Oreochromis niloticus: one gene and its partners. The protein of the gene in region 3 interacts with the protein of the main gene of each other region in a pairwise test. Links are inferred from orthologs where the notes say so. Each region holds a gene or a part of one and is shown on either strand. Other genes may lie near its edges. The genes, in order: hnrnpul1, ppp1r16b, sf3b4 and bag3.

Region 1 (7,618 bases), on a different chromosome or scaffold from region 3:
TCTCTTACAGAGTAAGATTTCTGTTTGCCTAATACATATATATATATGTGTGTGTGTGTGTGTGTGTGTGTGTGTGTGTGTGTGTGTGTGTGAGAGAACCAGAAGGATTACTTGACATTAGTTAAAAAAAAAAAAAACAAAACCAAAACAAAAGTTAACTAGAGCTTCTATAAAAATGGTGTTTTCAACTACATTGGTTTAAAGGCCAACAGGGTAATGCTATTCTTACATTTGACGATAATGCTTGTTAATAGTAAAGTTTCCCCATCCACTATATCAATAATTAACACAAAGTTTTCATGTATCAGTAATCATTACACAACACCAAATTGGTAGCATTTCATAAAATAGGTCTGACCTCATCAGCACAAATGTCTAGTTTTAAAACTACTAAGCCTTTGGAGAAACGCATCCATCTACCTTCATCTCATAGCACACGCGTCCCTGGGTGACTCCATGAGTTGCTCGTGCCCCAGCCCAAAGGTAAGCAAAGCCTTCAATGGTCAGTGGATAACCACTGTAGCGATCTCGGGAAACTTTGAAGTGCAAATCACAATTGTCTGAAAACCAAAGAGTTAAGCACATTTAGATAAAACATCAAACACATCTATATCAGCCATAAGATGGTAGTCTACATCTAGTCCGCTTTTCTGCAGCTATAGTGTGCGCTCATGATCATTGTAGATTAGAGCAGAGCATACATATATCAAAATGTTACAGGTAATCCATCAACAAAAGCATGTAGTCAATAACTGACTCTTTGTCTGCTACAACAGTCCAACTTCCCATAGTCTCTGGTATTTATAAACAACCATAGACAGCACACTGATACTAGTTTTTTCACACACTATTTAAATGTACCATACTTACATGTATCAATTGTAACAAGAGTGTCGTCTATGTTCTCCTCTTCATCTTCAGCAGGAGGCTGTGGTGTTCGGGATCTGTATAATAACACCAGAGTATTTATTGTAGTACACTTTGTGTTATCCATTCCGAGTGTAGACAGTTGTGTTAACTTAGAAAACCATGTAGAAGTTCACCTCTTCTCCTCACGGTGCTCATAATAGCTGTAGCCCCTGTTCTCCTCATATGGCCTCTTACGTCCATAGTGTCCACCTCTCTCAGCTTCAGTTTTGACTTGCTCTGGCTGGCCCGCGGTATCTTCCCCATGCGGCTGTTCGTGCTGATTATCTTGTTGCCTTTCACCTGCACCCTCAGATTCATCTTCCATTTTGACCTCTACTTTAACTTCTATAATTAGACATGAACACACATAACACCTTTTAGCATGAAAACAAGTTCATGAAATTTTTCTACTAGGTATGAGAGCAGTTTGAGTGTTTGGTTTACATGTCTTTACTGTATTGCCAAAGTCCACAAGGAAAATTTTACACTACCTTTAGCATCATTTAGTTTAAGCAGATCACTGGGTCATTGTGCCACCTCTGCATGTCGGCAGTAAGTAACAGTAAAACGTTTGAATCTCTGAAAAGCGTTTCTATTCTCAACCAGTGCCATCAGAGATGAATACAAGACTATAAAAATCAACTGTGTAATAAAAGTAATGAAAAATTACCTTGTCTATTCTTTTCATTCTCCTCCTCTTCATTCTCCTCCTCCTCCACTTCCTTTGTTGCAGGCTTGGTCTCTTCCTCAGACATCATGTCAGTTTTCTGAATATCCTCATCTGCTGTGAAGTCAGGCACATTGTGGCCTGAGTCTGAAGGAGTCTGACTTTCATACGGGTTACCTTCTGCCTCCTCTTCTTCATAGTAACCACCTGAATCTCGGCCCTCATCTTCATCTTGAGGGGCATCACCTTCAGCTTCATCACCTTCAGCTTCATCACCACCACCATAGTCCTCAGCTGCTTCTGAATCTGGAAAGGTAAAATTTTAAACTTAGTTTAGGTGTTCTCTAGGTTGTAAAGTAAAGAGTTTGTTGACATTTCCCAACTTTGAAACTTTAATTTATACTCAAGCACAGTGAAGTGCTTAAAATGTAATGCCAGCAAAGGGCAGAAATTGGATCAAAGTCCAAAACAACGTAATAAAACTAGTTTCATGGAAGTGAAATGTTTAATGAAATAGTACTTTACCCTGCTGCTCTTGTGGATCCGTTTCATCTTCATTGTCTTGGTAGTCATCACCGTATTCCTCTTCCTGCTGCTGATCCCCTTTATCCTCTTGCTCACCAGCATCAGCCTTAGCTTCAGCCTCCAGAGCGGCTTTCAGCCTCTCTACGAGGTCTGCCTTCAGGCCTCTGGTGTCCAGGCCACGGCGCTGGAGCTCTTCTTTTAACTCATTGACTTTCAGTTTCTTCACGTCAACACTCATTGTGATTTTAGATGTCTACTCGGTGGCTGTTGTCTTTATTTGCTACAAAAAATGGGGGGGGGAATGGTCAGGTACTTCTAAAAACACTGCCTTATAACTTTCAAATGTTATCTGCTGCGCGGCACCGTGTCCACAGCCTGGCTGCGTTAGCCGTTTAGCTAAGCTAGCAACGCTGGACAGATTCTGTAAGACTAAAGAGTGTTCCACTACACGTCTGTGAACCATTAAACTCGTGTTTTATTGCAGCCGTTACCAATATAACCATTTGCAAGACAAAACTATCCCTAAAATAGATGCTAATGCTATTACTCGTCTGAAGATCTCGCTGAGCAGCTAACGTTCTTAGCCTAGCATTAGCTAACGTACCGACAGCCGCTGCAAGGGAAGAAACTTTAACTCAGACAATAAGCAAGCTGCAACCCATACTTTGTCTGCATGCAAGTCCAGGAGATAATGCACTGTGCACTCCGCTTATAGTTTAGAACTGAAACAGAATATATTTACGAAACAAGGTTGAGGCCTACCTCCTTTCACCCAAGTTGCGCGGGCAAGTCGTGTTAGAAGACTGAAAGAGTTGCTACCGCCCCCTGGCGCCACAAACCTGACCAAACTCAGAACCGGAAGTTAAGCAGAGCCGGTTGGTTGAATTTATTATTCTGCTGCAAATGTAAAACACTGGGATGCACTTCTTTGAGCTACCAAATAGCGCGAGTTTACCATTAACTAATTTGTACCATATAATCTTAGATGAAATCAAAGAGAACGATGTTTTGTATGTTACGCGTTAAGCACTTGGAGCGTTCCAAAGTAGGAAGTGTTACATTGACGTCATCTTGGGTACTGTAGTTTTACAGTAATGTGAAGAAACGCGGGACATCATCCACTCTGGAGGTGCTTTCAGTTTTTATTCGCTTGTTTCGTATTAAACATGACAAAAACGCTATCAACAGCCAGCATATCGTTTTATTTCAATTTTTTTTTTTTCCAATTGTCACCATACATCCAATTACAAACCAGCAATTACAACATGGAATTTTATGGACAGTACAGGGGCAGATTCTCTCAAAAACTAATCCACTGATATGAGCTGGTTTTGTTTTTTGGTGTTTATATTTTTTTTCCATTAATAGTAACTCATAATTAGTATTTAAAAAAAAAAAATCATATAATTCAGCATTTCCAAAGTGATTAAGGTCTACGAGGATCACTGAATTACAAAGAAAGGAATATGCTGAAGCTGTTAAAAATATATATGTATATATCAACTTTAAGGTCACCACTTTAGTTTTTATATACACTCAGTCAACTTTACAATGAACATGCAAGGTCAGCCAGTGAAATTCACTATGAATATCATAGCAATTCCCTTTTTTTTTTACAACTAGTTGCTCAGAACATGAGCAAATGACAGTACCCAAATCCACATTGCAGTGATATACTTATATCAACCTCTTCCACCCAGCTCAAAGCTATGAGGCTGTACATATACACGTGCACTCACTCCTTCACCCCACAACCCGACATTATGCCTTGCTGTATAGCAAACAACTAAATTTGTTACTTTTTGGTGGGAACAGGAAATGACAGCAGTTGCCTGTTGACCTCTCTCAGCTGCGCACTTAGAGTCTCTGTCGTTAGGGATAATTCTGCCAGTTGCGTCTGTAGGCTTATGAGGGTCTCGTTCAGCTCCTCCTCTTTACGGCGAGAGTTAGCCGCCTGCCTGCTGTACTCTAACACCATGCATCCACCACCAATGAGGAAGATGATTGCCTCCCCCAGTAACTCGGCGCCCAGCTCTGCTGCCGATTCCTCGTTCAGCGGCTTAATGGTGGCTCCCCTGAAGCCCATGATCCGCATCTTTGTTCTCATCTCAATCCAGTGATAAACTGTTGGAACAAGGAGCATACAGTATATAAGGAAAGAGTTGTTAGACTTTGAATATGTTTGGGTCCTGTTCACTTTTTCATTAAAAGGATCAGATAATCTGGTCAAAAGTTGTGAATACAGGAGAAACTGCATTTATGGTTTAAGATGCATGTCATCATTGCACTATAATTTATTATAATCTTCTACCCAGCTGAGATTCACGGTCTAGGCAGCACTATGTTTTCAGGAGGCTTTGTAACTTCAGGTGATGGACAATTGCAATCACTGAAATAATAATAAAGTAAAATGTATTTCAAGATGTTTTAGAGGAGAATTTCAGCCCAGCAGTCCATACCCTGAAGCACGGGAGAGGTTGTGTAATGCTATGTACAAGACAATAACCTAAAGGAGATCCACGACCTTAACCCTAGTGAGATGCTGTGGCTAAAAAGGGCCGTTCAACTAAAGCATCACATAAATCCTGAACTAAAACAGGTTTTGCTGGGAGTTGTCCAAAATTCTCCTTCATTGTTGTGCAACTCTTATAAGCAATTAAATAACATGCATACCAGAGACTGTGGCTGCTAAAAAGGTTTGTATGAGGAATTATATTTACATCTTCACTTACTGTTCTAGCTGCAACTGAACTTTTGTGCAATAAATAAAGACAACAAAGAAGTTGAAGAGTTTATCATTTTATGTAGGTTATATTTGTCTTCAATTGTGACATAGCCTCCTAGGACCCAGCAATTACTTTTTTATTCAGTGTCCTTTCTAGTGGACAGAAGACTTACTACCTCTCATTCTGCTACCACACTTCAGGAAGCAAAGAGTAGGATGAGGCAGACTGGATTTTATTGAGAACTGCAGAAGGGGAGTCAGTCTTATTGCCGTGAGGAGATGAGCTGGGGGAATGCCAGACATCAGAGCCGAAAGTTGAAAGCTCAGAGGAACACATTTCAGTTTTTGAGGAGCCTGGTTGAAATAGGGTTAAAAATTTTTTAGAATGAAAAGAGGACAACGCTGCACACAACCACCAAACAGGTGATCCTCTGATTAAATCAAACAGAAAACAATCTCAGTGCTCAAAAACCAGAAGGTGGTGGTCATCTCTGAAGGGAACGTAGCATTAATACCTTACTGAAATTGGGTTGAAATTGTTTTTAGCATAAAACATGAAAACAGGAAAGCACTGTCCAAAACCACTAAATCAGTGGTGCTCTTAATACATTACACAGAAATTAGGCAACCAGGTTTCTTTTTTCTTTTTTTTCAGGGCACAAACAAGAGGGAGATGCTCATTTTTGAATGTAGCATTAAAACTGAAACATTCTTCAGCATATCTGTGGTCACCACCTAACTTGGGATCCAAATTTACTGGTTAATAGTTCAAGATTCAGCAGTCCATCAAAGAGAAACATTTTCTTGATGTCAGTGATAAGTGGGAAAAGAATAAAGCCCCATGGAAAGTGAGAAGTCTCTTAAACAGAATGCAAGAAGGTTGCCATGTAAAGATGAATCCCTTCACACTCACGGGTGTCCTGTATGGCAACTGAGAGGCCAAATCCCTCAGAGCCTTAGCTTACATAATATTTCTTGTCCATAACAAATTTTGTGTGTTGTCATTTTGCCCCTGCTCAGACTCCTCAAAAGCTGGTGTACTTTCACCTTATTGCTCTAATGTCTTTCCCCCCTTCACCTCCTGACAGCTCTAAGTATGACTACACTTTCACAGTTTGGAGTAAAATCCTTTCTGCTTCACTCAGCCATCATATATGAAGATAAGACTACCTTTTAATAGTAATCAAACCTTTTATTGCATTTTATCTACTCGGTCAACAAATAATACCATGCCATTTTTTCCTCCAGCACCTTTTCATAAAAGCTCGATTTGATCCATTAATTTACTTAAAATTTTAACGAAAAAATTTTTTAATCTTTAACGAAAAACTGTAGCTTCTTTTTTATTTGTAGCCTTTTTTATTATCTGAAAATGAATGATGGAGAACACAATTACAAACACAACATGATATACACAGTAAGCTTTACTTGCCGCCTGCGAAGTATTCTAAATGACTAACACAAACAAGTCAGATATGCCTAAACAATAGAGCTCAGTGTCCACTTAGCATATTTCTGTCTAATTAAAGTCAGCGTCACATTCTGAATAGGGTGTTAGGACTACAGTTGTCCTGCCGTGCCCTCATTGCAAAGGCTAACACAACCTGTTCAATGACAGACAAGACCCGCCCTTTTAGAGCTTGCCTGGCTACTATTGGTCGAAGATATAAATTCTTAAAGATGATTGGATAACAGTCATTTCAGGTTCATTGTCATTGGTTGTTGCGGCTCTCCATGCTTATCAACCGTCAGAGGTGACTGGACTGAACTCTAAGCCATTAGCAGCCGTTAGCTCAAATTACTCACGCTGTGCCGGCGGCAGGCAAATGTAAGTTTTAAAGAACTCGCTCCTCCGGGCTCCAGCTTTTATCCGGTTAGCCACAGGCTTGCTCATTTGCCTCACTCCGAGGTAAAGGAGCTTGGCGATAGGGAAGGCACCGACAACCATCTTGGCGGAAACGCTTCTCAATGGGGCGGAGTGCGTAGAGGTTACGTGATGACGTTTATGATTGACAAGCCCAGTCACAAATCCGTCCACGTGTCCAAGTCTCGTGAAGTGAAACGCCCTGATTTCCTTACTTATTTGGTTATTTATTTATCGACGTATTTGTTTGTATTTGTTATCTTGTTTTGCTATTAGTTAGAACTCACTTAATGATAAACGTCCCGTCTTTCCCAATTTAAATAACAGCATTGATGTTTGACATTAATTTTCTCTTTAAAAATGAATTAAATAGGTAATTAATTAAATTAATAAAATGACAAACTACTTTTTACGTGGCATCATATTGCATTGCTGCATGTTAGATCATTTCCACACTGCACAACCATTATAAACTACAGTAAGATACTATTTTATGGTTTTATTTTTTTTTTAAATGAGAGAGACTGGTGTATCGGAAGTTATATGCTAATGTATGTAGGCCCAACGAATTAAAACACAGTTATGTCTTTTTAAAAATACATAATTGTGTTTGTAAAACAATAGTCTATTATTATACATGTAACGTAGGCTATATATGGTAGCATATATATGCATATATATATTTCACACAGTTCATAAACTGAAAAAATATATGTATTTCTATTTAAAAGTGAGGGTGTGAATAAAAAAAAAATCAACAGTTACCTGTCTGCGAGATACTAAATAATACGCAACTCCTCCCTCACAGATTATATACTTCACCTGGAACAGCTGTGGTAGAAACACCTGGCTCGGGTTACAGCAGTGAAGAAAGCCGAGGGGCTGGACTATCAGCCAAAATAACTCAACTCAGTACGCAGCTATGACT
Region 2 (7,358 bases), on a different chromosome or scaffold from region 3:
ACACAGGACTTCACATCTTACTCTGCTCTTCTGACCAGTGAGCATAGTGTTTGCATTGGTATATTTCGGCTTGTTTGATTTTCCCTGCCTTAAAAGAAATCGTAGCAAAGTGAAAAGTTCCAAGTTTACAAAATCACCTACACATTTAGAGCAGAACAAATAAATTAGAGGTCTGAAAGTGCACTTAAACCAAATTTATCTGACCAGCATTCCTTCCCTGGTGATTTAGACCTGACCACAAAATAAAAGCTTCACACTCAAGCCCACTTTCAAGTCAACCTGAAGATAGCAACAAAAATGAACAAATCTACACCTCAGGAGAAGGCTGTGGACTTTTAGGGCCTCTAAGCAGGCTCGATAGCTGCCCTGTGATTTGCCTGTCTTCGTATTAAGACCACAGATTAGCAGTCAGTGCCTGCTCCTAGCTGTAATCAGAGCGCTGATCTACTAAATCGCTTATCCATAGTAAGAAAGATAAGACCTGTTTAGCGGCTGAGAAACAGATTTCCAATTCATACAAAGAAACACACGTTTTATTTCACGCTTCTGCTGACCCGCTTTGATGCCCCGTTCCACTGCAGGTCCTGTTTAAGTATCAAGCGAGGCCAGTGTTTCAGCGTGCCTCCAGGGCTGATTCTGTTTCAATATTTTATGAGCAACAGTCAAATCACCGTGTTGGAATAATTAAACATCAGTTAGGGCACAAAGCTGCAGAGAATATATGGAGGCAGCTCTTCAGTGAGGAGGGAGTAGTGAAGCATAGCAATGGGGCTCCTTAGAGATCAGAGACGACTCACTCAGACACTCACAGGAATATAATTTTGCCATTACTCTGTATAACTGCTGTTGGTAATGTGGACGAGTGCCACGTTAATGTGCCTGTGTGGGTTTGTGTGTGAGCTAAACAATAATGGCAAGAAGACATCGCAATATTACGCTCAAATGTGGCATCAGTTACCGCGCATAACTTCAGAGAGAGAAATTCATTATCAGCACAGTTTTCAATTTCGATCTAATCCAACGTAAAGGCAGTTTGCAGTTACAGTACATTTACAAGGCCACAATATTTTCTGGGGGTTTCACTGTAAATGGATTTATACATTTTTCAGTTTATTTTATCCCTAATATTTGTCAGTTGCTTGTTTTTCGCAGCTTAAATTTAACTTTTACACTAAAATCAGTTCACAGCCACATGTTACATGTTTCGCCAGTATAGACTTTACATCTTAGCACTTCGCTTAAAGTTCAACCAGTTTAACCTTTGACCTTGTTAATGTGTGACCTTTTAATCAGCAGCTGATGGGATGACAGTCGCTGTTACCTGAAATAACAACAGCTGGTGGTTGAGTTTATCTGTTCGATTGATTGTCGTCATTATTACTCAAAACAGTATGGCCAAATTTGCATTAAAGGCACGGCTTGCCCCCAATTTAGAAGTGATTAACTTTTGGAGTCGCCTCATATATTCACAAATACAAACTTTATTCTTCAAGAAAATATTGCAAGCTAATCCAGATCCAGATATTCTTTCGGATCCAGCAACGAAACTGTGCAGAGGAATGCCGTCTAACTGCTCTTTATTTCTGATCCCTCCTGGGGCCTTCCTGCTACCTGTCACACAAGGGTTGCACCCTGAAGTTTATTATATTTCTATCTGCATCCCATCGCAGAGTGAGCTCAGCTGGTACAGTTGACCTCTGGTAGTCAGTGGTTATCTAGTTAAGCACTAACTTGCACAGTACATTTAGCAGCAGCACAATCCGGACTCCTGTTTGCGATGCACACCTGCAGGAGTCCAAGATTTGGGTGTTGATGTTTCGCGTGTACAGACACGCTTCGTCGCTCTTGTGCTGTCGCATGCATGTACAGCAGACATGCACGCAGTATAGCAGAGTGAACCGTCACTCCCCAACATGAGCCAACAGCCGGTGCAGATGCTGAGAGGAACAGCAGGCGGAAAGCGTTCAGGATGTCTCCACACATCAAAGATTTAAAGGTAACACAGCCAGGCAAGAAGCCCACCTGTCTTAGCAATTTGTACACCTGGCACAAAGTGAGATGAACACTGCTGATGATGTTTGGTGCACATCTCTGCAAGCAGCACATTAGGACACTACTGGTGTCATAATAATAATAATAATATAACATTTAGGGTCATTTTTTAAATACATTTTTATTACGCTCATACATATATGGGTTACATATAAGATTAATCACTTCAAATCACATAAAGGGGAGGAATAAGTGAGCATGCTACAGTCACAATAAAGCCGAAACTGTATGAGTGCACATACGTAAATTTCCTATATAAAAGTTAAGACGAAGACTCTGCTCGTCGGCACGTAAAGCCTGAACATCAGTCCGTTCAGCCTGGATTGTGGGAGTCACAAACTCACAAAGTAAATGCAAAAATAAACATCTGCAGCTTCGCCCGCTGCAAACAGTCCCGGTGTCCCAGCAGCAGCCAGCCAGCACTCCCGGACTAAAGGAGGGGGGGAGAGCCATGTGTGTCACCGCAGCGCTGTTACACCAACATCCATGAGGAGATGTTAAAGCCGCTCAACCAGTGTTGTTGTGTTTACTGGCGCCAGCAGCGGAAACGACGCTTTTCACCGGTTTAATTACAGCTCACAAAAGCGTCTGGTGACCCACTAAAGGCGGTAAAGTGCGCTAGCTCGGAGTGCTCCAACAGAAGCCGGACATGCCTCTCCTCCTGCCTGTCTACTGCCCCCTTTTCCTCCACGGGGGAAAAAATTCCCTTCTTCCATCTTCTGGTTTAGTTTCAAGCGGTCCACGGCAAACACACCCGAAATTACAATAGAGCTGGCAACATGTGTGGATGTTTGCACTCACCTCAGTTCGGGGTGTTCACACTGGGCAGAGGGGAAAGCAGAGGGTCCACTATGGTATCCAGGAGGTTTAAAGTTGTCCCGTTAGTAAAGACACAGCAGCTGGTGTGAGGAGCTCAGTGTGTGTGTCTCTGTTTGTGTGTGTGTGTGTGAGAGTCTGCAGAGTCCCCCTCTCTCTCTCTCTCTCTCTCTCTCTCTGTGCTTCAACACCAAGTCACTCCTTGAGGGCGGCGCTAAGAAGGAGGCGGAGACTGAAGCACGGATGGAGCCACGGTGGATGGCAGTGGTGCACGGAGTGGTGGCCCGCAGAGGCACCCTTTCACATACATTACAGGTTTTCTCCATCGCTTTGGTCCAAATGTCACTGCAGGAACAGTTAAAGGGTTTTCACATGCGTGCAACTATGCAAGGGCAGTCAATATTTGATAAGTGTAGATAACTGGTGTACAAACCACAAATTCTCAAGATCTTCCACAGCCCAGCGTCTTATAGCAGATTTATTATGTGAAAAGTGGAGTTGTAAAAGAATTTAAACATAACCTTGTGATGAACAGTTTTATAAATAATAGATTTGTTTACTTCTTTAAAGGATATAATCCTATTTAAATAGCTTAATAGTTCACAGGTTGTATATTCAAATATATTTAAAGTACATAAAGTAAATGTATACACGTGAAAGTAAACTTTAGGATCCTATACATCAGCGGTCCCCGACCTTTTTTGTGCCACGGACCGTTTTATGTCTAACAATATTTTACGGACAGGCCTTTAAGGTGTCACGGATAAATATAACAAAATAAGACCAGTACCGGTACCAAAAAAAGAAGATTTATTCATAAGGCACGGGAAAAGACACAGGGAAATCAAGTTAATGATAAAAATGATTAAAAAATAACACTAAAAACTGATAAAAACCCTGAAAACCATAAATTTCACACCCGAGCCTCAACTCTCACAGCCTGGTACCAAACGACTCGGAGGTTGGGGACCGCTGCTATACATGATATTAGTAACTTATAATTAATGAATTACTGATATATATATGTTTGTAATGTCCATGACCTTAAGTATTTGTAAATTTGTAGAATAAAAGTGTTCAGATGCAAAATTGAAATGTGAAGGATTTTTTTAAAACTCCTGAAAGTGAGAAAAGCAGAATGATCATTGGGAAAATATATACATCAAAAAAAGAGAAAAAGAGACTATATATATCACTCTTTTCCAGGCAACTGTATGTATAGTACATGTATTCAGCAGCCACTTTATTAGGTACAGCTGTTCAACTGCACATTAAGGCAAATATCTAACCAGCCAATAAAATTTCAGGAACTCAATGCATCTAGGCATGTAGACATGGTCAAGATGACCTGCTGAAATTCAAACTTAGCATCAGAATGGGGAAGGTGATTTAAATGACTGAGCTTGGCGTGATTGTTGATGCCAGATAGGCTGGTCTGAGTATTTCAGAAACTGCTCATCTAGTGGGATTTTCCCACAGAATCATCTCTATGGTTTACAGAGAATGGTCCGAAGCAGTCAAAATATCCAGTAAGTGGTTCTCTGAGTGAAAATGGCTCGCTGATGTGAGAGGTCAGAGGAGAATGGCTAGACTAGTTTAAGGAAGGGAACCGTAAAACAAATAATCCTAGCTACACACAAGGTTTGATGCAGAAGATCATCAGACCTTGAAGTAGATGGGCTACAGCAGCAGAAGACCACACTAGTGGTCACTCCTGTCAGCTAAGAACAGGAAACTGAAACCTGTACTCCAATGGCCTGCACAGTTGTCAGATCTCAGTCTAGCAGAACCTTTGGGATGAGGTGTAGAGGGAAATTTGGATAAGGAGCTGACAAACCTGTCATATCAATATGGAGCAAAGTCTCCGAGGAATGTTTCCAGGAGCTTGTTGAATCTATGCCACAAAGAATGAAGGCAGCTTTGGATGTAAAAGGGGGACCAACCCAGTACTAACAGAGTGTACCGCTTGACTCACACCAAAGTATATCTCAGGTCATCTGCCACCCTGTTCATAACCTGAGGTCCTGAGCTAAAGCTCTGCTGGCTGTCCCACAGTCTTACCTTAATAACCAAGGGTGATCAGGCTTTTTCTGCCAGGGCACTGACCCCCTGAGGATAGACTGGTGAGCTCATTATCATCTGTTTCTTAAAGAAATGTGTTTTATGGACAGCCTTTTTCAGCCTCCACTAAAAAAGCTCCACGTGTCATGTCAGGCACTAGGGGAGTGGACTCAAAGGCAGAGCTCACAAAGGCAGACTGAAGTTTTTATTTACAGGTAGATCAGTATAGTGAAAATACACAGACTGGTGAGGGGGACATCTAGGAAGGGGAAGGGTCCAACTTCCAAACCAAGCCAGCAGCCATTCCACACAATCCAGATCAATGTTCCAGTGATGACTGGCCGTCTACCCACGCCTTAAGTAGGAGCCCCTAATTGCTCATCTTCCACATGTGGGGAACCAGCCACAGGTGAGTTGGGTGGAGACTCAAGAACACAATCTTGAACACACAGCACAGAGAGAGAGACACACACACACAGAAACAGAGAATCCACTGGGGAGCCCGAGTCCTGACACTATGTTGAATTATGTCATGTTTCAGATTTGTTTGATCGTCCTCTCCTATTGACGATTTATATTTTCTTTAATTACCTGTTTTTCATTTTTAATTATCTTCATTTCTCCCTTTTATCTTTTTGTTATGCCAGGATTTCTATACCTTATTTATTGTTTCACTTTGATCTCTTAAACATTTCATTTATTGTTTGTTTCTGATCTTGTCATGTGAAGCATCATCATCATCATTATTATTATTGTTGTTATTGTTATTATTATTATTATTATTATTATTAGACTCAATAAACCCACCGCACACTAAAACAGTTGACTACAGTTTTCAAGTGAGATCACTGAATTAGAGTCTTGTAACAGTCTGTGTTGTTGGGTGTCAAGATTAGTCATGAAACTATTCGACTTTACACTTGTGGTTCTATAAAAATGGGACAGTCTTCATACAGGAAGTTGCAGGCGTGACGTCATGGATGTGTTAGTAACAGCTGGAAACTGTAGACTGTTGTGAGTTCCGTTTATGTAAATGCTGACAGGCAACAATTTAATCACAACACAAGTGTGTTGAAAGGTGGATTCAGAGGAACTAAATCTTTCACAAGCCAAGCTGCTATGATAATTCATGTAAAATATGCTTTTATTTTTTTACTTCTTTCTTTAAGGGCCATTCTCAGATTGGAGACGTGTTTAATCACATAAATGGACACAAAACACATATCTACATACAGATAATCAATAGTATTCATCTTCATATACTGAATATTTATTTGGTGGGTGGCTGACAGACAGACAGACCAACTGAACTAAATTGAACTATATTGCTTCCTGTTCACAATAGTAGGTGGCACGATGGTCCCCGCAGAGCTCAAAGTTGGACACATTAGCTTATCCGGTGATTCTAAAGTGCTAGTAGCTTTGACCTAGATGAAGAATAAAGTGTTGTATTAATGTGTTTATGAATGTGAATAATACAAAGGTTAAATGTGATTTGTTGATGCGGTTAATAGGAGTGCTTTACAAATGCCAGTCCATCATACTGTAAATTATTTCATGATTTGATGTGACATAAAACAATGTAACACTCTGCTGTTTGACACACCCTCTGGTTGCCTGTTGGTTCAAACGTCTCACACATAGGCCTAACAGATTTTTGTTTTTTCTTTTAATTTTTTTAATGAGACCAGAGATGTTTTTTACCACACGATTTCATGCATTGATTTAGGCCTTTAGAAAAGGCTTCTAATGAGTGTCCCAGATTTCAGCCTGAGCTGTCCCACATTAAGAACTGTGCACCATCTTTTTGCACTATGGCTGCAATTTCTTCTCTGTGTGATGTCTGCACATCTGCTTTTTCAAATATGATTAGAGAAAACCCTCAGAGATTTCAGAATGGTCTTGGGTGCAAATATATTTTATAGGCTATTTACTTTTCCATGACATTAAATCACTCCATTTACATTATCTATATTCTTTGGTTCACTCATTTGCACTACTTTTGCAGCCTGTAAACCTGAAATAACTACATTAAAGCTACTTTTGGTGGCTTTGCTCCCTTATTCACAGGAGTCACTACAGCGAGTATCATACCATACAACTTTAATTATAAAGCACTTTAAAACAGCCACAGGAATACCCTTTTTTCTGTACAAAGAAAGGGAATAAATACATTGAAAATGATAAAAATAAATAAAGACAACACTGATAGAAAGGACTACAATATAAAAAAACAAGTAAGATCAGTGCCTGATTCTGGATCAAAAGCCTAAGAGTATAAATGCATTTTAAGATGAGTTTTAAAAATGGGCATTTTAGACAGATGTCTAACATTTAAACGAAATTTATTCCACAACTTAGGGACAACCACGGAGAACGTTCTGTGGTTTTTGTATATGTAGGAGCAACTGGTCAGATGCCTTGAGAGC
Region 3 (7,049 bases):
GCAGAAAAAAACATGTTTTAAGAAAGCAATTAAGTTAAAATATGATTGTTTGCTTGCAGGACACCAGGAGAGATGAGTCCTCCGTCACAGATGGTGTGGTCAGTGAAGATGGTCGCCTGCAAGTTCAAGCTCATTGCATCTCCAACCATCAACCACTGCCACTGTACTTAAGGGAAGTTAAAGACTTTCTTCTGCACCTACATTTGGATCACCTTGATCCATGACAGTCATTCAGGCAGTAATGCCTGGACTAGAAACAAGCATCCTTAAAATAATACAACATTCCAGCTCATGTGTTGGAATGGAAAACAAATGTGTTGTTTAAATTAGAGACTGCACTTGTGACAGAACAACAAATATTTTATTTTGATTATATAAGTAATGTAAGTACAAAACAAACTTGTGGTAGGCCTAAACTTATTTTCAGAATAATTACATCTGAGACTTTGTTTCATTGTAAGATTATAACAGCGATGGCAATATAATTGTTTGTTGTTCAGCAGAACAGTGTCCATTTTTGGCTGTTATACTTTGTTGTGTTTGAAAATAAAAGTTGGGCTGATTTTAACATCATTACAAAAAGTGTTGTTAATTATTTTTAATCATATTCAGGTTACCACAAATTGTTTTTTCATTTAGTTGAACTTGAAATGTTTGTTAGGTAAACAATTACTATTGTACAGTCAGAAATATCAAGTTATTGTTAATACTGCAGACTTGCAATGTCTAAGTTGTCCTAACAGTCATCTTAAGTAAGCTTTACTTATTTTTTTTGAGGCAACGAGTTTCCATAATTTTTTTGAGTTCTGGGAACTAAAAAAAGGCTGTACAGTGTACTCAAAATGAGTAAGTTGCCCTAACTTGGTCATCTGATGTAAACTTGATCCAATCTTTTTGAGTTCTGGGAACAAATGAGCTTGTACAGAATACTCAAAATAAATAAGTTATCCTAACTTAGTCATTTTTAGCTAAGCTTTACTCAATTTTTTTGAGGCAACGAGTTTCCATAATTTTTTTGAGTTCTGGGAACTAATTAGATTTTACAGTGTAATGTGAAAAGAGATTAAAACTCATGAGGAACAAATTTTATTCTTAGACCACTTCAGGTTGATTACTTCTTGTTCCTGCTCCTGGAAGTAGGTCAAGTTGTACCAGACACCCAAATTCATCTTGTAAGCTAATCACTTAAAATCACCACCTATTAAATTCTTATTAATGGAAACAAGATTTTTCCACATTACCTGATGAACGGTGCCTGAAATGTTGTGTAACACACCGCAGTAAAACAATAAAACAACTTCCATTTGCTCTTACCTGGAATGGCCATCGCAGCTCCCAGTGTGGTCAGGACCGGCGTTGGAGCCGTTGGCGGTGGAGGAGCATCTGCAAACAGCTGGTGAGGCCTGTCTGCCTGGGAGAGTGGATTCTGAGCGGCCAGGAGTCGCTCTGCGGCCGAGCCGTGACGCTCTCCTTTGGAATCTTTCTTGAAGGCGTACGACACTGTGATGGGCCTGTTGCAGAGGTACTGGCCGTTCATGGCCTCAATGGCAGCATCGGATGCATCGAAGCTGGCAAAATTGATGAAAGCATAACCCTTCGAGTTGCCGGTGTCTGGATCTCTCATGATCTTTGGCGTCTGGAGGATCACACCAAAGGCACTGAACGTGTCGTAGAGCAGTTTCTCATCAATCTCTGGGTCCAGGTTACCGATGAAGATGTTAGCACCGACATCCAGGTTTTTGTTGTGTGCAGAAGCTTTATTAACCCTGATCGGTTTGCCATAGAGCTTTATCATATTCATGATTTTGATGGCATAGTCAGCATCCTCTTCACTGAGGAACTCCACAAAGCCATAGCCTGAGAAAATAGCAAAAACAGTTAGCTGAGCTTGTTTTTGGTGATCCTTCAAAACACGTGCCAAAAAGGTGATCTGATTATTTACCTTGATGTTGGCCTGTGACTCTGTCTTTGGGCATGTGTGTGTTGACCACAGGACCAGCCTGCAGGAAAAGCTCCCATAGTAACGGCTCAGACACTTTCTCATCCAAACCACCAACATATACAGTGGCATCTGAAACATGAAGAGAGAATAAACCTCATAATGATCAGTGCATCATCACAGGTCATCAATCTCTTTTTTGTGGACACATGTAAAAGTCAATAGAGATACTTCAAGAATAGAAAAAATATATAATATTTGGAAATAAATTACTTAATCAGTGAGATCCAGTCCTTTGTGTCCTTTGGAAGCCCTGCTAATATAATTCAGCTGGAAGATGTGTACAGATAACTATGCGTTGTGAAACTACCGGATAAAAGATTTTAAAATTAGATACTTGCTTTTTCTTAAAGTTCCTTTATTGCCTCTCACACTCTCCTCATATTTAATATACGTGTACAATATTTATTATGCAAACTCAAACGTTTAGTGTTTACATCTAAAATACCGGTATCTAAAATCCTATATACCCACATCAAGAAACAGTCCCCGTCTAAAATCAGCACGATAAGAAACAAAGAAGTTTAATATGTTTAACTTGACCGCCGAGTGAAGCTACAAGCTATGTTGTTAGCTTCCTCGGCTACTTGTAGTTGTTGGTCAACTAGACGTTAAGTCTGCTGCTAATTTGCTCGCAACAATCACACTTCAAAACAACCCCAAACCAACGCTGAACTCTGGCTTATATATAAGTGACAAGTAAAAGGATGAAAAAATCTGAATGAAAAGCAAAATCAGCGACATGCTAAGCTAGCGACAACTCAATGTTTCCATGTGATCCGCCGGTTGTTTATCACAAACTGCTGTCTAAACGAGGCAGTCAGTAAGTAAATCTGAGCCGGTTCCGGTGAAATGTACCAGCACTTTTATGAATGAGGAGTGCAAATAAACAAAACAGAGTTTAATGATGAGTTTACCTTGGTTTCTTTCTGAAATTGGTCCCGCTGCCATGTTGAATGACCAACGCAGGGGGAGCGATGCACAATGAAACCCCGCCTCTTCCGATGCTGTGTAGCGGAAGTATAAAATAAAAATTCAATTTAATTTAATTTAATTTAATTTTTTCTGGTATGATATTAAATGTCGGATTTTAAAGAACATAATGTGAAAAACGAGTTCATTCCAGCTTGAATTGAATTTGTTTTATTTTTGTTTTAATTGCTTCCGGACACAATTTACCAAACAAAAGTGTAAAAATTGACAATATTATAAATGCAGTGGATTTCCTTATTACTGAAACAACTAGTCTCACGTTTCAATAAGACATAACTAGAGAAAAAATCCAATCAACTTACTATTATTTTATTTTATTTTATTTTATTTTTATTTAATAATAACAAACATAATTAATTTGTTTCTCAAACATAGTCCAGGTACTGAGTAGCTGATTTGTGGGTAGGTAGTCAGTGGGGTTGTAGTACTGTGTGCAGCCAGCACACAGTAAGGTAGCATTTCCTTGATGCTAGTATGGACAACTGTCTGGATCCCCTGCGATCCTCTTGGCTCTAAGTCTGCATCATTTCATTTATATGTCACCCAGATTTAGGAGATTGAACTCGATGGTTCTCTTGATTTAAAACAACCCCCCTGAGAACCAAGCAACCTAGACAAGAGTTTCAAGTCCTTTGATCATCTGAGGTAATAGAGGCAATTGGTCTATTACAGTTGTTTTTACTTTGATAACTTTTGTGGGCTCTGAAAGAGGAAAAATAAATTCACCAGTATTGCTCTGTAATGTTAATTGTGTTTGGTTTTGATCAGAAACAGTGCTACGATGCCTAATTTAGACTGTGGGTGGGATATATCTGTTATGCCTTCTGGTGGCATTTGCAAGTTACTGCATAATTTAAAAAAAATTAAAGTGAATGAAATTAGTGTTTTTATACTCTAAAAATCTGGAATATGTCTTTTTATTAATTTGGAATATTAAATTATTACCAGTGTGTGTGTGTGTGTGTGTGTGTGTGGCCTTGATTTTCAGTCACTGAAAACAAGTGGCTCGACACAGTGCCATTTGTAACAGCAAATTTATTACATATACATATAAATCTACTAAAAGTATAAACATGGAATACAAAATCTTCATAGAAAATACAAACAGTAAGGACCTCGAGAAACACTCTTATAAAACAATACTGTATAGAATATGAAACATATAAAACCAGAACTTAATCAACACATCATGCATCAAAGCAAAAAAAATGAAAAAACAAAACAAAAACATGCAGAGCCAAAACTGTTTTTTAGGAAACAAATAGCAAAAAACAAACATACGGTTCAAAAAACCTTCAATAATATTGATAACAAAGAAAGATCAAAGGCATTTTTTACAGAAGGAGCCTTGAGATTAATGGCTTGTGGCTATAAAAACAAACAAACCAAAAAACCAACCCAGATGTTGAGCATCTAAATTGAAACAAACTGCCTCAGCCTCCTTCCCGTTAAGCTGTTCATTAAAACACTGCTTGAGATTTCCTCATTAATCACATTTCCTCATTAATCTTAATTGAGTCAAAGAAGGATAAAATCACTGAAAGTGTTTCTGCATATGAAATCCTGGGAATCTGTTTAGTACCAAGTTTAAAATTTACTGATTTGAAATTTACACATTTGAAAAAGAGAAAATACTAACCAGGACATATAAAGTTGACTTTTTCAGTCAATTTTAAATTTGCATTATTCATTAAAGAGAACTGCAAAGTCAGCATTTTTATATTTGCGCCACACACATATGCTGCAAAGTGGGCACAAAGAAAGAAAACAAAAACAAAACCAGTATATAATGTTTATAAATTTATACCAAAGGTAATAACATTAAATACATCCTTCACAATCTAACGGCATGTAACATATTGAGGAAATGATTTGATAAAAACACTCTGCAGGTACTGGAAGTATTACCCAGCACAGACGCCACTTCAGACTGTAATTAAAAGATGGACGTAGCCACCATGTCATCGCCCACTGGTTTGGAAGCCTTGCATTTGGCATTCTGGACTTTTTTGATACCAGACATAACAAACAAGTGGTGAGAAACTGGGACTGTTGTGGAGGGCCGGATCAATAAGCTTATGAAGAGTGAAAAATGAATACTGAGCAGAAAGTAGTTCAGCTTATTGATCCGGCCCTCCACAACAGTCCCAGTCTAGCACACACCGTATTTTATCATAGTCAACACCAGCTCATAATATACCAACAGACATCATGCTGTGTGTTAAAAGGGACTTTTAAAAGGGACCACAATGACATAAGGAAAGTATTGACTGAGGTCAGTCCTTCCAGAGGAGTTGACAATTATAAAGAATGCAGGTTGAAGGCACTTTTGCACTGGCTTCACTTTTCAGACTACGGAAGCTTGTTTGCTGGAAAAACAATTTTAAAAATCGCCATCCGTAATTTGAAATTTCAAGTTAGGTTGAAATTTAGCTAGCTCTGCCAATCAGAAAGCTCTGTGAAGGTAGATCAATTCCTTGTCATGAGCTGTCTAACATTTCGACATGAACACGTTGATTCCACACCTTTTATCCATTTCTGCAAAGAGGCATTCAACGTTTGCTATACCTTGGTAGCTCACAAGCTTCTGTATTAGACAGAGAAGCTATGTCCATCTTTTATATACAGTCTGTGATTCAGACCAATGACGTAACATTGGTCAGATTTTGTTACCTTTGGGGCTGAGTGTGGGAACTTGTTTACATCCCTTTTCAGTCTTTATGCTAATCTATGGTGAGGCGGCTTTATTAAGCTTCATATTAACCAGACCGCCCTGCGTGTAACGTCAATCAAATTCTCAGAGTAAATTTCCCCCAACTATTCTTTGTAACAGTAAGAAATTAACTACATGTGTAAAGATGACTGTTCAAACATTGCTAGCTACCATTTTCATAAAGGCACAAAGACTCCAGAGATGAGTTATAGAAACTTCCTGCACTTTTTCTTTATTTGTTCTTTCTTTATATTTCGTGTAATCGAGTTCTGCTGCTCACAATCCAGCATTCAGCAGCAAGAACGAGCCCTCCTGCTGTCTGACTTTCATTACATCCAAAAGAGCCGTATCACATCAATTAAAACTTGCGTGGGGTCTTTTTAATGCTGCTTGTTAAAACGCCTTTATCCCTACAACGTATAAAAATGCATTTTATAAAGACGAACAAATATAAAGTTATGACATTTACGGTAAAAAAGGGTAATAAATGCCTGTTATATTACATTTTTTTGGCATGCAGACATTACAACGCTGCCAAAACCCAATTTCTCCTTCCAGTATCTCAAAAAAAACCTTAGACCACAGAAGCTGGCACTGTTCTGACTACAATGACTCAAAACTGATGGTTCAGCTTTCAAAAAAAAAAGAAAAAAAAAAGCCCAACTCATTCTCTGGCCTCCATTTTTTAACTGCTGAGACCCTGACCTACATTTAAGTCATAACAAACACTCACTTTGTTTGAACTCTACTAGCTGACCAACACAATCTGCATCACAAGAGCAGATTTGTAATTTTTTTAAGTCGTGTTGCTTTGCAGGTCCTTTTTGCTGATAGCGCATTAAAATGATACATTCGGCTAGTGTCATCGTCGCCAAGCAAGCGCCGAAGCTTTAAAAAAACGCCTTTGCAACAAAAGCTGAAGTAAAACGGCATAGTGGTGGTTTAATATTTGATCTTTTTTTTAAACCTGAGCTGCTGTCAGAGCATCAATTACCTGCTGACATGTTTCTTCTTTTGCAAATTACCCACAAATTATTATTACATGAGTCAATAAGTGTATTTCTGTGCTTACTGGAAGTCTAGTATTATTTGAGGCTGCTTCCCATAATAAACCTGTAGGAGCAGGTTGCACATCCATTACAGAAAACCGGTGATATTAGCTGGGATCTTTTATCCCCTTCATTCATATCTTGCTGAGTGGGTGACCTCTGTTCCTGTGCTTTATTCATGAACAAACACAGGCTTCTTGCGTCATCAATTTTGGCATCTTCCCATCCCGAATACTACAACCAACCAAAACAAACCGAAGCCGAGAAGAAACACACGAGCTACACCTCATTAGCG
Region 4 (7,305 bases), on a different chromosome or scaffold from region 3:
GGCATCCCTGGAAGGAGAAATGAGAACAACTTCAGCACACTTTGAAGTTTAAATCTTCTACACTAAAACAAAAAAGGAACCACGCAAAACACAATGAACTGTGAATCCTCTACTCTGTCCGACATTAAGCTACATTAGCTATCATGACCTTGTACGGAGTACTGACTCGTAATATAACTTCAAAGCAACACTTGAAAAACAAGTACAAATACATGCAGCCTACAGTACTGTCTTTAAATCATTTCTGACGTATTAATGGATCTTTACCACTAGAGCACCACTGTTTGCTCAGTCCTCACAACAGTAGGCTACAGATTTAAAAATCACAAAGCAAATGGCTATGGATTACCATGCATTCTTATAAGCTGCTGTTCGTACTCTTACTACAGACAGAAATAAATAGAAAATATCAAAAAGAGAAAAAAGGAATTAAACGGCATACATGGCCTGTTAACAGATTTCTTTATTTTTCCTGGTCAATTCTTTACCACCAATATGGAGTATGGAGTTTGGGGAGCTGCAAATTTTGAGAAATTGACATTTTCAGAATTTTTGGAAGAGGATCATGGCACTACAAACAACACTATGCAAATCAAAAATAAGACAAAAAACACAGATTTAGAGGAAGACATTTTGTATTGGAATTTGTTAATCTAAGCTAGGTCATGTTAATACATGGCATCTACAAATAAAGACATATGGAAAGAATGGAATAAATAGAGAAAAAAACTACATCTGAGTCTCCAGAGTGCACAGTTCCTTGCTGTTAGCCTTCAAGCTCCTGTCCAATCCTATGAGCATTTCTGTAAAATAACCAAAGTGCTATTACTTCACTGAGACTCAAAACTAAAAGCTGTTCAGGTACATATACACAGCTTACATTTTGCTCACATGCTGTACAGTTTACTTACCACACCCTACATATGCATAAAAAAAACTGACAGTTCAGTCATAAAAATAAAGACATAATAGACCGACCACATTGTCAATGCAAATGTGTCGCCACTCTATATCTAAAAACAACAACAACATAATTTTAAAGGTATTAGTTACTCCATGTTTAAGTATGTTTACATGCATCGATGTGGGGCCTTTTCTACTCAATGTAAGCAATACTCTTTGTGACAATAAAGGGCTATTCTATTCTACTCTATTCCATTCCAGTGTTAATCCTTTCCTGTTACACATTCATTATGTTGTCTGGTTCGTTTTTCTCTCCAAAAGGTGTGCACAGAGCGCCAATTTCCAGTCCTTGACAATCAAACATAATTGTCTTTCAACCAAAAAGATTACATCAGTAATGCAGGCCTCATTGTGTAATGCAACTTTCTGTTTCACCTTTACAACCTATAAAACCTGTTTCTCAACCGACTGGGAGGAAGAAAAAAAAAAAAATCAGTGGTTGGACTGAAACATATTGTATTACACATAAGACAAGTAGAAAAAAAATACACACACACAAACACTCTCACACTCACACACACGTAAAAACTTACGATATTTTCCCAAATGGTGCAAACGCAACCCTGACATCCTCAGTAGTAATCTCTGGATTCAAATCACCCACAAAAACATGGAAGTGATCTAGTACAAAAGAAAACACGAACATAGTAAACAAACTATTTGCTAATCCCCAGTAGACTCTGATTCCAGCAGAGTGTACGTGTGTTTGTGTGCGTGGTGGTGTAGGGGAATCAATAGGCGATCGCTTACTGGATGTGTCTTTCTTCTGGCTACTTGGAGTGGTGGCCCAATTTACTTTAACCTCCTGAAAACAGAATTCACAGAGAGCACTTAAAACTGTGAAGAAGACTCAGGAAAACAATGTTGTATGATATTCAAGGATGAGAGGCATTAATACAACAAATAAACTTAATAACTTTGCATATAATTTTTTAGAGCAGCTATGTCCTACCTTTCCTAATATCTTCCTCCCATTCATGGCTGCAAGGGCTGCAGCAGCATCTCTGTGTTCAAAGAACTCCACAAAGCAATAGGGATCATTGCTCGTGTGCTGTAAGGATAAGATCAGACACAACAGATTAACAGTGTGGCTCAACTAAAACTACAACTAGGTGAAAATGTAGAAAACAAGATAACCCAGCAACCTTAGCTGCTTACCTCTGTGATCATTTTACAGCTTTTGCATGGTCCTATCTGGGTGAAGAGCTGCAGGATCAGAATTTCTGTTACATCCCTGGAGAGGTTTCCCACATACCTAGAGGAGGAAAAATAAAAAGAAGTCCACTTACTCCAGGAAACGAGCTATTTACTTTGAAAAAGTGAAGCACGGGTACTTCGTTTCTGGTATTACAGTATCATTGGTGATTATGAGTTTTTGAAGTGAAGTTCCTTACAGTAGTCTGTTTTTAACGATGTTAGTAACATCTAACAGACAGTTGTTAACACTTATATATAACTCACATATACTTATTAATTAACTCTTATGTCAATTAACCTGAAAATAGTGGAGCATAAACGCTAAATGTTTATGTCGTCCAGTTGTTTGTGGAAACAACAGCTAGCTAATTTAGCCACCGAACACCGACGATAGCGAAACTAATGACACGCAACGTTACTGCCGGACACGAAAAACTACTTACAGGGTTCTGGGGTGGGTTTCGTCGTCCATAGTCGATGCTGACAGTAACCAGGGAAGAAAACGCCACTTACTAGCTAGTTATAGCTGGTATTAACTGGCAATTAGAAACCACAACTAGCTAACTAGCTTAGAAGCTAGCTAACCGGGCGCCAGAGCATACGTCACACTGTGAGAGTCCAGAGTACGTACGTGCGTGTGCAGGAAGAGACCCGTCACATAAGGTTGAAGTAATAAAAGGCTTTTTGCGTTCTTAATAGTAAAAAATTGAAAATTTCTTAAAGACCGTTACTTCTGAATGACACCATTTTTAAAAAATTAACTGTAAAAAGCCGAAAGAGCAAACCTAATGTGTACTTATTTTATTAATTTTGGAAAAGGAAGCTGCATACGAAACTCTTATTTTGAAATGCAATGCAAAGGTACGCTTGTTTTCAATGCCGAGATTTGACGGCTCAAGGCAGTGGCGCGAACCACCAGGACCTTTCTCGAATCTGAGCTCAGATGTCACTGTGAAGAAATTTCCCGTTTGACTTGTACATTCACGCTTTATTAACAAACTCTTTTAAATGCTTAGTCACAACAAGGCAGTGGTTGTGGGGTGGGGGATGGAAGGAAATTATATGTCAAAGTATATGTAAAAAAAGTTGAATAACAAGATTGTTGAGTTTATTGCCTGAACTGTTGTGATAACCCTGGGTGTACAGAACCAAAGAATTGTACTTTTTTTTATACTACCCAAAGACATTTTTTTTTCTTTCCCCCCTCATTTTTATTTTTTCCTTGTGGTTTAAACTTGGCGCATAGTGGGCGCTTTTATTTTGAAGGACTTTTATTAAAGGACAAATGCGTAAAAAATGATCCCCTGTCATTCTTAAGTCTACTAGTAATTTTCCATAAAAAATACTAAAGACTTTAGTTACTCTCACTCTTTAATGTTACTGGCTCTAATTTGTGTTGCGCAACCGCGATATTTTTACAGCCATAAGAAGCCGCTTGAGGTGGATTAAGAAAAGCGTGGCGATGGGTAATTAACGGTGATATAATTGACAAGCTTGCAAAAATTAAAGTTGGCTTCCCCTCCTCGCAGGCAGATATCCAATTAAAACGAATTGCTCCCATAAACTACTTAATACATATTTTATTACTGTCAATCACGTGTGTATTTTCTGGTATGCCAAAATGCAAATATTAGATGTCGTTGCCTGCAATGTCCAAAATATCAAACACCTTTAAAAATCCATGTGTTGAACGTTTGTGACACTGTTAAGTCCACGAGATCAAAGGTTTGCTGCACTGGTGTTTTCCTTGTAGTACAGGGCAGAATTGGAGTAGTCCTTTGATTAAGAAAGATCAGTCATTAGACGTGTCACTGTGCCCACACTTATCACACCACCAGTTACATAATTGTGCACCAAATCAATGCAAACCCAGACTGAGTTCCCTTGGACAGCATTTATTATGTGGGAGTCTGAGTACATCTATTTGGAGAACATCTTTTTAAGCAAACACTTTGGGATTCCCTTGTCTTGGAAAATGGTTCAGGGGCAGGGGTCACTGAGGAAGGTCCACAGTGCCCACTGTACACGTAAGGGTGATTACTTCTCTGCCCAGACAGGACACAGCAAAGAGGGGGAAAAGGATGCATGGTGGGGTGGGCAAAAAAAAAAAAAAAAAAAAAAAAAAAAAAAAATATCGAGGGTTTACTCTGTGTCTATGTGAGGGGGGGGTCTGCCTGCGACATAACAAATCTGGGAACCCATGCCACTGTATCCAGCGCTGTCCGCCCCCAACATTAACCCTGCTATTTCGAGAAACTTCCAGCCCACTTTTCCACGTCACTTGAAGGAATCTTTAAAGCGTCCGTCGCCCGTATAAAATGTCTCAGTACTCGACAGCCAGCAATATGAACGGCATGAAGACACAGTCACCGATACTGACCATGGCGAGTAATGACAACGACCCTCTCCCCCTCGGTTGGGAAGTAAAAATTGACCCTCAGACTGGATGGCCCTTCTTCGTGGACCACAACAACCGTACCACAACCTGGAATGACCCGAGACACGACACGAAAAAGGTAAAAGAGCGGCGGGATAAAGTTGGTCAGTTAACGGTAACGGCTAACGGCAGTTTCACCGCTATTTTTTTTTCTGTCGACGTGCGTCGGTTGTGGTGCATGTTTTGGTTTGTTGCGTTGTTAAAGCGGCAGAAGCCTTTGCGCTACATCACTGTTATATATTAGTCTTGTTGACCGTAGGCCCTGTTTGGCACCGTTGCCTCCCCCTCACGGACAGCTCATAAGCCCATTATAACGGGTGATCAACTCTGATATGTTCCCGAGTCATGATCTAACACTATTATTACTCGATGACTCACTCTGCAGCATGCAAAAGGCTACCCATGATGAGCTCCCCGGCATTTTAATGTGTTTCTTTCACGGTGCAAAACAGTGCTGCGACGTCCTGCTCATATTAAACTTTTTCCCTTACAAGGATCGAGGCTGGTCCACTTCGCTTCGGTTGTGTACGGCTGTAGCCGGGCGCTGGCTGCCCCCCGCGTATCGCATTCAGCTGTATTAAAAACCGTGTTGTGAAAGCGCACAGGTCTGCAGAGAAAACCCGTGGGCTGAAGTGAGCTTCACAGCCTGCCAGCTGGTAATCTTTCGTCTCAGAGAGAGAGACGCTGTTGTCCAAAGTTAGTGTCCAGAGGAATCTGCTAGAAAGACACAGCTGTTGGGGGATAAAATTGGTGCAATGGTGCTGGCAGCGTGCAGTGTCCCATAGTGGCAGAGGGCAAAGGGTCGTTCACGGCTATTTCATTACTTTAGTCCTACTGGAAGAATGCCACTGATTTACAGATAAATGCAGTGTTTGCTTTGTAGGTGTTTACTTCGGGTGTGTTTCGGGCAGCTGGTACAACTTTTGTCACTTTTCAGTTATGCCATTAACTGAGTGCTGAACTGGCAGACCTGTTGCTTGTACCCATCCATAGCTGTCATGTGCAGGTGTGTAGTCTAGAGTAATACTAATAGAAAACAAGCGCCTTTCTGCAGTAGAAAATGGAAATTTAAAGCATTGATTTACTAGTCATACGGTAGAACCCAGCCCCTTCTTTTAATTATATTTTACTCTTGTATGTATACAAATGTATCCTGGGATTGTCTATGATTGGATGAATAAATGTTGCTCGAGAAAGAATTTACTGTGCTATGTGGAAAGAACTCATATATTTGCTTTTTTTTTTTTTTCAATCAAAGCAAACCACATTTCCTCTTTCTGTAAAAATCCTAATGTTTGGCTGATATTATTAGATCCAAGGATGTGCTAACTGTTGTTGTTGGATAAGTCAGGACATTCATCCAGGTTATGTTACTCTGATTGTGAAACAATCAACAATAATATTCATCACGGAAACAGCAAGCTGTCTGACGGGAAACGCACCAGAGCCTGTGGGTTCACATATCAAAGATTCAATACTTTTGGCATCCCTCTGCGAAATTGTGACATTTTAACCTATAACCTCTGCAGTTACCTCAGGATGGAAAACACTTTGCTTTTTAAAATTCCTTAATACTTTGAAGAAAAACATTTAGTGGCACATCGTAAAATGTCCTGTTGTACGTGGACTTAAATGCAACTCTTTAAGTGGAGGAGCTTATAGCTGAATATTTAACATATGTAAAAGTAATTTTTCTTCTGTTACACACCCATGAGCAAGAATAGGTTGGCTAAAAATATATTAAAGCACATTTTGTAATCAACCGATGCCTAAAATTTGCAATAAACTACAACAGCAACTGTAATTAATCTGAGTATAAGGTTACATAGATTGCTATGTTGCTATGTTTCAGGTTCGAGAAGTGTCAGCAAATGGACCCAACATACAGCCAGAACTAAGTCCTCAGGAGACACAGAAGACCTTTGTGAGGGAGATGAAGCACCCCATTCTTCGCCCAGGTTATGTTCCCATCCCAGTCTATCATGAGGGTGCAGAACTGAGGCAGCAGCAGCAGCACCCGTGTTATTCCTACATCCAGCCGAGCACTGCACAGAACATCCGGACAGATGGGCGGACACCTTCCCCAACGCCGGGGCTCCACTGCAGGCCTAGATCGCCTTTACATGGCCCGTCAGACAGCTCCTCCGCTGAGCCTGGAAAGACGAGCTCGCCTGTCTCACAGACACCAGAGGTGGGAATTGAGTTTAAATGTGCCACCAGATGGAGTATAATGTTTACAGTAGGCAGAAATGTTCCAATTTTCAAACAACTACTGAATTTTGACTGTTTTAATTTGTTCATTTATTTTTAAGGCTTATACTGTTACGCATCACCAACCTTCACGGCCCAGCAGCACCGGTCTCCAGTCTGGTTATATCCCTATACCAGTGATTCATGAGGGTGGAGGGGGACAAACACAGGTTCAATTAAATCCCTCAGTTTACTCTCAGCGCATCCCTTACCCAGAACATCAGCAGCCCTTCCATCGTCTTCAGACAGATGAATGGCCCGGCTACTCTGCTGCAATGCAGCCCCCCCGGGAACAGGCTTCGCCAACTCTGTTTCCTCAGCACCGCGATACTGCCTCCATTCATCTCCCTCCTCACATCAGAAGCCAGTCACCTGTTATATCACAAGTGATGGGAGAAAGGCCACAGGTAATTTTACTTTTTCTGTGTGGCGTGTTGTTGTTTTTTGTTTTTTTCAGA

The links.
Region 1: the proteins of sf3b4 (region 3) and hnrnpul1 interact in binary tests that used the Homo sapiens proteins (3 or more experiments, as listed by UniProt). The link is inferred for Oreochromis niloticus from reciprocal best matches to the Homo sapiens genes SF3B4 and HNRNPUL1.
Region 2: the proteins of sf3b4 (region 3) and ppp1r16b interact in binary tests that used the Homo sapiens proteins (3 or more experiments, as listed by UniProt). The two-hybrid records come from large-scale screens. The link is inferred for Oreochromis niloticus from reciprocal best matches to the Homo sapiens genes SF3B4 and PPP1R16B.
Region 4: the proteins of sf3b4 (region 3) and bag3 interact in binary tests that used the Homo sapiens proteins (3 or more experiments, as listed by UniProt). The two-hybrid records come from large-scale screens. The link is inferred for Oreochromis niloticus from reciprocal best matches to the Homo sapiens genes SF3B4 and BAG3.

Annotation. Positions count from the first base shown.
Region 1 is NC_031979.2:33,502,650-33,510,267, reverse strand, and holds the start of hnrnpul1 (heterogeneous nuclear ribonucleoprotein U-like protein 1), read right to left. Parts: upstream 3,022-7,618; 5' UTR 2,864-3,021; intron 2,382-2,863; 5' UTR 2,340-2,381; coding exon 2,102-2,339; intron 1,883-2,101; coding exon 1,580-1,882; intron 1,255-1,579; coding exon 1,044-1,254; intron 945-1,043; coding exon 871-944; intron 561-870; coding exon 421-560; intron 1-420. Other genes in the region: opa3 (optic atrophy 3 protein homolog), read right to left, coding at 3,897-4,225, 6,633-6,774.
Region 2 is NC_031970.2:6,549,146-6,556,503, forward strand, and holds the start of ppp1r16b (protein phosphatase 1 regulatory inhibitor subunit 16B), read right to left. Parts: upstream 3,014-7,358; 5' UTR 2,854-3,013; intron 1-2,853. UniProt on the Homo sapiens protein: Regulator of protein phosphatase 1 (PP1) that acts as a positive regulator of pulmonary endothelial cell (EC) barrier function. Involved in the regulation of the PI3K/AKT signaling pathway, angiogenesis and endothelial cell proliferation.
Region 3 is NC_031985.2:19,772,825-19,779,873, forward strand, and holds the start of sf3b4 (splicing factor 3B subunit 4), read right to left. Parts: upstream 3,004-7,049; 5' UTR 2,951-3,003; coding exon 2,917-2,950; intron 2,072-2,916; coding exon 1,943-2,071; intron 1,858-1,942; coding exon 1,315-1,857; intron 1-1,314. UniProt on the Homo sapiens protein: Component of the 17S U2 SnRNP complex of the spliceosome, a large ribonucleoprotein complex that removes introns from transcribed pre-mRNAs.
Region 4 is NC_031978.2:25,360,688-25,367,992, forward strand, and holds the start of bag3 (BAG family molecular chaperone regulator 3), read left to right. Parts: upstream 1-4,305; 5' UTR 4,306-4,478; coding exon 4,479-4,676; intron 4,677-6,449; coding exon 6,450-6,788; intron 6,789-6,909; coding exon 6,910-7,254; intron 7,255-7,305. Other genes in the region: tial1 (nucleolysin TIAR), read right to left, coding at 1-7, 1,497-1,584, 1,714-1,768, 1,916-2,014, 2,122-2,218, 2,604-2,632. UniProt on the Homo sapiens protein: Co-chaperone and adapter protein that connects different classes of molecular chaperones including heat shock proteins 70 (HSP70s), e.g. HSPA1A/HSP70 or HSPA8/HSC70, and small heat shock proteins (sHSPs), e.g. HSPB8.